2 linked regions of the Coturnix japonica genome follow. The protein of the gene in region 1 purifies or fractionates together with the protein of each later gene. This does not show direct contact. Links are inferred from orthologs where the notes say so. Each region holds a gene or a part of one and is shown in the gene's direction. Other genes may lie near its edges.

What was found.
Region 2: the proteins of PHF6 (region 1) and LYAR purify together in Homo sapiens (affinity purification with mass spectrometry; 3 studies listed by BioGRID and IntAct, with this or other methods). This does not show direct contact. The link is inferred for Coturnix japonica from reciprocal best matches to the Homo sapiens genes PHF6 and LYAR.

The regions. Positions count from the first base shown.
Region 1 is NC_029519.1:3,896,028-3,899,845, forward strand, and holds part of PHF6 (PHD finger protein 6), read left to right. Parts: intron 1-2,642; coding exon 2,643-2,809; intron 2,810-2,988; coding exon 2,989-3,132; intron 3,133-3,818.
Region 2 is NC_029519.1:71,298,033-71,302,334, reverse strand, and holds the start of LYAR (cell growth-regulating nucleolar protein), read left to right. Parts: upstream 1-1,336; 5' UTR 1,337-1,431; exon of another isoform or gene 1,432-1,522; 5' UTR 1,523-1,573; coding exon 1,574-1,695; intron 1,696-2,874; coding exon 2,875-2,989; intron 2,990-3,091; coding exon 3,092-3,199; intron 3,200-4,302. Other genes in the region: ZBTB49 (zinc finger and BTB domain-containing protein 49), read right to left, coding at 123-274. UniProt on the Homo sapiens protein: Plays a role in the maintenance of the appropriate processing of 47S/45S pre-rRNA to 32S/30S pre-rRNAs and their subsequent processing to produce 18S and 28S rRNAs. Also acts at the level of transcription regulation.

The DNA.
Region 1 (3,818 bases):
GTGGTGTCGATCCATAGCTCCATGCCACATGTACAGAGACTTAACTCCACAAGGAGTTGCACTGACTCGGATCAGGTGTCTGGATTCCAGTGAATTCTCAACTTTTTGGGGATTAGTAGTTTTGAGGACAGGAAAAGGTTTCTCCTTAGAGAAAAGCTGTGCAATTGTGCATGTTTGTTACGCTGGAAACATCCTTTAGAAATACAGCATGTTTACTTTTCAATTTAATCTTCTACTCCTAGATTAAAATTACACTTGAGAACTTACTCTTCAAGGAGGCTGTGGCATTTCTCATGTGAAGCCGGTTTTCCCATTTGCTTGTGTTTTTGCAGTTAATGTTCATTTCCAGTTGTTGAGAGTGTGAGTATGCAGGGCTCAGGAGATGCTTTAAAGCTTAGGGGGAAAAAAGGTGGACTGTGTGTGCTATGGTTATCAGAACTCTGGCTTAAAAAAATAATGCTGGTTAATGGACTAAATGGTTAATTCAACTTCATGAAACACAGTAGTGAAATCTATGGAGTGATTTTTGGAAGGAACATTTCTAACTGCTTATACGCTGATGTTATTTAAAGGCTCAAAAATTCAATAGTCGCTTTTGTTGAAGACTCTTTTCTTTGCAATAAAGAGCCATCTGTGCAGAAGGCTGACATATCTTTAGTACATTAGGGGGGAGCCCCTCTATTCGATGAGAGACAAGATGGAATTATTTTCTTTGAAATAACTTTTTAGGTTGTAGTAAAACTCGCTGTGTGCAATCTGAGAGGTAGGATATTTAAATAGCACAATCTTGCTTTGAGAGTTTAGCAAGTAATATTAAATGAAAAGTAAGTTCAGATGGTAAATTGTGCAAAGGAAATGTAGAATGCATCATTTCACTAGATAATCTCTGTCATCAGATGTTCATTTTTTTTCAGACTAAAACAAATGGTGGTACTTTTGCAGTCTGAGTATAGAATAGGATGCATACTGAAGCATAGTGACTTGTAGTAGATGCATTTGTGTATATTAGTCATTGCTTGGGAATATGTCTATATAGCTGATTAATCTGGAAATTTAAGCCAAAATAATTTGAAGACTTATATGAATTCCTTGTCAAATCTTTGCCTCCTTCTGACCACACAACTGCACGCTGCTTTTCAGTGTAACATGTTGTGATGTGTTTGGGTTCGTTTTCTTTCCTTTGTCAGCAAATGTGCAAGAAGCTGTAGTTACTTCAGAGTTTAGCAAGAAATGTGATGGAGTAAGCTTAATAGGATACACTTGGATGCAAGACTTCAGCGTTTCTGCTACTAAATGGCTTTGGAATATATTTCAGGGCTTTGACTTTGAACTGTTGTGCAGTTGATTCACTGTTAATCATGAGCTAGGATAAATGCGACTTGATTTTTATCTGCTAATAGATAAGAAATGTGAGTACTGGTGAGGCAGCTCTTAGAGTCAGGTGTTCTGTCTGTTTATTGAGACCAAGAAGTAATGGTGGTAAGTGCCCTAGCAATACTTAATAATAGTATCACTACAGACAAATGTCCCATTAATGTATAGTAGAGATATTCCAGATGTTCTGATCAGGACTTCCTTCCAGTTTGGTGATCATGATGATGATTTTGGCTCGGATTTTGAGATCTATATAGCAGTGTATATGCATTTTTCTTCAAATGAGTTACGGAAATAACTTTGCAGTTTGAGAAGGGATGGATATTGCTTATTAAAAGAAAAACGTGAGCTGGATGAGCAGAAAAGTTGCTAGCAAGTGGGTAGAGCTGGTTATTAATATCAGGTGTGGCTTAATTAGATCGTAGTTGAAGCAACTTTAGGAAGTTTGCAGGATTGATCTGTATTGACTTTATGCATCTGAGAGATCAGCAGTGCACCCTGCTGCAATGCCTGACAGTTCTGTGCAGCAATTCAGCAGCTGGTCTGGCATTTTCAAAGGAATTCATCAGACTTCTTTGTTATATCCGTATTCAGAATATACTTTCTTATATTCTCAATTTTGTCTATTTTGTCAATTAAATTGTCCATGATTTTCTGGCTCCTACTTTTTAGGTATAGATACAAAAACGTACAGCAACTAAACTGAAATATTGGATGTGTCTCATAGAGGCAAAATACATTACAGTTCTCAAACTTGTTAATATTGTAGCCAAAATGTGTGACTTTTTCTTACACCAATTATTAATGCAAGGGGAGAGGTGTTACTTAGAACTACTGGCGTTAAGATCAGGTACAATTTATACTGAATGTGTGCATCTTTAAAAACAAAATGCTTTTGGCTTTGCAATGGCATCTGTTGGCCATGTTTTTAGTGAAGGTGGAGATATACATCCAAGGCCATGTGTTGGTCCTGAAAGTAGAAATTGTAAGAAAGGTTAAAGCTTTCTCAAACATGACATAACTTTGGATCTTTTTAACATAATAATGCGATATGAACATAATACATACCTATGAGTGTAAGAAAGTAAATGATGTTTTCAGGATCTTGCATGTTTGTGATAAATGTGAAAAGGTTACTGTTTTAATTTCTGACCAAAATTAGGAAAACACAGGTTGTTCTTTTTCTCATCTGTTTTTGGTTCTGGTTTGTGTAATATTTCTGTGAATGATTGTTGTTATTATTTGATGATGTTTTTTAACTTCCAAAGCAGATTTAGAAGAAAGTATCAACGAACATGAATTGGAGCCTTCACCTCCCAAAGGAAAAAGGAGGGGTCGTAAGGGAAAGCCAAGAAAAACAAATTTAAAAGGGCAATCAGAAGACACTAGATCCACATCTTCACATGGCACAGACGAAATAGAAAGCAGTTCCTATGTAAGCAGTAAATATGCTAAACTTCTTAGAAGAGAGCGTTGTGTGTTTCTTCTTTGTGGATATAAGTGTAATTAAAATCTGCATTTGTCTGAGCCTCCAGCTGGTGGCCACAGGCTTTTGAAATTGCAACCTTATTTATAACCCAGCAGTATATTTTAGTTAAAATGTTTTTCTTTCAGAGAGACAGGTCTCCCCACAGAAGCAGCCCCAGTGATACAAAACCTAAATGTGGATTCTGTCATGCAGGTGAAGAAGAAAATGAAGCTAGAGGAAAGCTTCATATATTTAATGCCAAAAAGGCTGCAGCACACTATAAGTGTATGGTGAGTAACAGCTTTGTTGTTAATCAGTTTATTATGAGTTTTATCTGAATTGCTGTTTTAGGTTTTTTTACAGAGTCTTCACATGTAATTACATGTGGATGTTGTCTGCTTGCTGATGGTCTCTTTCAGTACTGAAGTGTTGTGAAATGTGCAATTCATTTATTTTCACTGCAGGCAATATGGATAAAAGTTGGCTGTGGGCTCGGAACCGGAATTAGTTCATTGAAGCTCCTTAGCATATTAAAAATGCTCTGTGAATGTCTAAAAGCATACATAGCACCTTTACTCCACAGGCATTCAGGCAAAATCCAGGAAGAATCAATGAACTCGATTCATTTTCTGACCAGAGGATCCGGGCTATGTGACTCAAGTAGGGAGTGAGCCATGGAAGTTCTAGAAAATTCATGCCTTTATAGATGATTGCGTTTGGAAAACTGTCATCTTGAAGAGAATCTGCTAATTTCAGTGCACTTGAGCAAATAGCACTGCCTTTCACATAATCAGTTTTGTGTATGAAGTAGTGATTTGTAGAATGGCCTCAGCAGTTTCTATTGTACTTCAAAGTGTATAAATACTCCAGGCAATCCAATTATTAGTGGTCTCCCTATAGCTGGCCTAACTAAACAGAGAGCTGGCATTCACCGGCAGTCTTGGGAAGGGAACAGAATACTCCTAAAGGGTTCACT
Region 2 (4,302 bases), about 67 Mb from region 1:
TTTAATAAGGTAAAATTCTTGATGTAGGTTCACCACTTCTCAGGTAAAACTTCAAACAACAATATTTAGTTTTTGTTTTTTGTTTTTGTTTTTTTTAAACAGAAGAAATTTCTGCCACGTACCTGAAATACTGACTAAAAGCAGCTAACACATTTTTGTGTGCTTTGAAGCAGACACCTTTCACCACCAACATGCAGTCACAGAGAAGACCCTGAATGCGTTGCTCGTGTAGCTGCTGGAGTAGATGACAACTGTGGCTAGCAACAGTGTCCATGCTAGAAAGTCACATTACCTACAACAAAATAAAACGCTAAAATGAATTTTAACTGTCAACTCGCAAAATGAATTGAGAACATGAGAACATTTGCACCGTTCTTTATCTCCTAAAGGAAACACCAGTTTAGACTTGTTATGTGAGCTCTGAAGACATTTCACAGCATCACTCACCAGTAGAAATACAGCAGCAGTTACAGAAAATATTGATTTCAATGAAGTATTTATTACAACAAAAAAGCTTCTGCAAAGATGTTCAAGCAGTGCTGCAAATATACTCATCTCTCTATCTACAGGAAACGCACTGCCAGCAATTTTAACAAGGTCATTATATCAGACCTATAAAACAGTAAGATTTGTATAGAACAGCCTCAGTTGCTTCTGGGCAGGGAGAACTCCGGATCAACACAGTATCACATTCACTGCTGTTAACAGCTAAGCATGTTTCTCACAGACCAGGTTAAAGTCTTTTAATTAACAAATAAAGCAGAAAAAAAAATCAAAATGCTTAAATGTGAGAAGAGCGCAGTTATCCCCATTTTCAGTTCTGATGAAGGGTTACAGTTCCCCATTTTAACACACTCCACTACCACACGTTTCCTTTCCATATTCAAGGGACATTGCACTGTACTTCATCCCTCTCCTTCATCTTTTTTTACCAGGCTTTAAAACAAACTAACCACACCTTTTGCTTGCCTCCCCCCGAACGCTTCACAAGGCCCTCAGCAACCCACGAATTCGGGCTTTCTCAGCAGCCAGATGTCTCGGTTTCCCTGAAGAATCATAGAATTACCCAGGTTGGAAAAGACCTTGAAGATCATCAAGTCCAACCGCAGTCTAACCATAGTACCCTAAGAAGGACACCCACGCAGAGCTACTCTCAAGCAAGAGCAGCTCACTGAGGGAGCAGCACACAGAGGGGACAGCGGAGAGCGGCACAGCCTGACAGACAACCAAGGCCATGCCCCAGCCCAGCTCATCCCGGCACTTACCGGCCGCAGTCACCGCGCAGCTCCATCCCATCATCAGCCCCACGCTCAGCCTCCACCCTCCGCTTCCGACGTCGCTCCTTCCGCTTCCGCTCTCTCTACGGCCCCGGACAGGCGGAAGCGGCAGCCGAGGCGGGTGCACGTGTGGCTGCGGTTGGCAGCAGTTGCGGTGAGGGGGAGTTAAACGGGTTAAACGGGGGAGATAAGAGTTAGAGTGCTTCTTTCTAATGGTGACAGCGGGGATCTCTTTGTCTCGCCAGGGGAGGAAAGAGATCGGCCCCATCCCATAGCAGCTGCTGACCCTCACCGCCATGGTCGTCTTCACGTGCAACGCGTGCGGGGAATCCGTGAAGAAAACGCAGGTTGAAAAGCACGTGAATGTTTGCAGGCACTGTGAGTGCCTGTCCTGCATGGACTGCGGCAAGGATTTCTGGTAGGTGGATGATGGCAAAGCTGCCCTGTTTGCTCCTCAGCACTTGTCCCACATCAAAGGTTCACTGTCAGCCCTTTCGAAGGGGAGTAAACTCTTGGAAAGGGCTGACAATAGCAGGACTAGGGGAAATGGTTTTAAGTTGAAAGAGGGAAGATTTAGTTTGGATGTCAGGGGAAGTTCTTCACTAGGAGAGTGGTTAGGCCCTGGAACAGGCTGCCCAGGGAGGTTGTGGATGCCCCGTCCTTGGAGGTGTTCAAGACCAGGTTGGACGGGGCCCTGGGCAACCTGATCTAGTAAAGGTGTATGTTTGGTGGCCCTGCCAGGCAGGGGGGTTGGAACTACATGATCCTTGAGGTCCCTTCCAACCCGGGTCATTCTGTGGTTCTGTGAACACTGTGGCACTGCACTCACTTATCCAGAGCATCCTTGTGCATCTCAGATCTCACCTGGACATCAGTATCAGACTGACAAGTGTCAGATAGCATTGATGTTGTTGCTGAGAAGACCATCAGCAGTAGACAAAGGTGTCTTTGGTACTGAGTGTATATATTAAGACCAGTTCTGCAGAGTAGATGCTGCTTCTGGTCATTGCTAGAGGTTATGTGAGGTTGGCAGTAACATCCAGAATTGTGAATTTGCCACTTTTCATAACTTAGAAGACAGTAGTGCTAGTATCTGCTTTTTAAATATGGATGTATGAATTTGCAGAAGAAAGTAAGCTCATCCTCAAATAATCACAAAGTTATAGAATGGCTTAGGTTGGAAGGGACCTTAAATATCATTCAGTTCCTGCCCCCTGCCATGGTTGCCAGCTGCTAGATCAGGCACCACATCAAGTTGCTCAGGGTCCCATCCAACCTGGCCTTGAACACCTCCAGGGATGGAGCATCCAGAGCTTCTGTTTATCTCCCTCAGTCCTTTATCAACAAAAAAGTTGTTATTCATTTCTTTTTGAGAGGCCACACACGTTGGTCAGAACTGCATTACTGCATGAGTGTATCCCCATTCAATTTAAGCAGTCTTACAAGGTGGTACTTTAACCATGTTGAACTTTTATCATATAAGCGTTGACAGTATTGAGGCTTAAACAACAGATGCTGTTACTTCAATGTGTTGGTTACTGAGTCTGTTTGGAGGACTGAGCACTTCAGTGAACTACGGTTGAAAATCTGTGTTCAGGGGTGATGACTATAAGGACCATGTGAAGTGTGTAACTGAAGATGAGAAGTATGGAGGAAAAGATTTTGAAGCCAAAACTAGTAAAGGAGATGCTAAACAACAGGAGTGGCTTCAGGTAAGGTGTATACTGATATAATAAGTAACTCTTGGTTGTTGAACTGACTGTGGGTTACTGAAGCTGTTCGTCACTGATTTCATCCTGGTTTTCTTCATTCAGAAAATTCACGAAGTAATGAAGAAACCCAATATAAACCCTAAGGTGCGAAACATTCTGGAGCAAATGCGTTCCTTTGGTAATATTCCAAGGAAAAAAGTAAAATTTCAGGTATGTTTTAAGAGCTTTGTAGTAATTGTACTTTAAAAATAGACTTTCCCAGCGTCACTCTCTTTCAAGAAAGGTGGGACAAATTGTTTTATTTTGAGCATCAGGAAGTGGATGATGTTATGGACAAGTTTTAAATAGGAGGTGTTTCTAAATTATTTCTCATTTCATAAAAGGTGTCTAAATGCAGTTTGTCTAACTGCAGTTTTAATTATTCATTAGGCCAGAGACTCACAAAGTTGTCTCCCAGACTTAGGGATTAAGATTGGATGTGTAGGCTTGTACTGTTTGTTATAGGGAGTTTTCCTGTTGATTAGCATTCTGATTCCCCCTCCCACACAGAGTACTTGATTGTTCTGTGCTTCCCAACCACAGCAGACTCCAAATGCTTTATGTGGTATCTGTAAAGAATTACAAGTTGGCCTTTCCTCCACTTCATTTTGTGTCTCAATTTGTAAAGCTGAGAGAAAATCATGACTGCTTCTAGGTGATTCAGATAGGATGTAATAGAACTGGTGTGAAATTGCTGCCAGAGCCAGCCAGAAGGTTAGACTAGTTTGACAAAATTAACCAAAATGTTCTAAGCCAAGGAAGTTCCATTTTCAAGAAGCTTTCTTCTTTTTGGTAAGATATTGCATTGAAAGATCAAGTTTTTGCAGTACATTATTCCAGTTTACCAGTGAAGCCTTTCCAGGTGTCCCTAAAGGATTATTTGTCTGTAGTGAAACAAAGAACAGATCCTTAATATTTTGGCTCATACCAACAATCAGAAGGTTTACTAGCTCTGTTCAAAAGCTTGAGGATATCATTTTCTGTATCATTCTGAATCATTGAATCACAAAGTTGGAAAGGACCTACAGGATCATGTAGTCCAACCGTCCTCCCATTACCGTTGCTAACACAATTGATCTCATCTGGATTATTGTTGGTGAGGCAATTGACAGGCATGGCATAGACTTTTAACTATATGCTACACAAAACAAATTAGCGTTGGGTTTTAAGGGATTCGTAGAGGATAAACATCGAACCAGATATTCATCATGCAAAATAACAAAATTCTTAAATTTAAGAATGAATTATATGGTAGTGAGGAGAAGAAAAAAGGA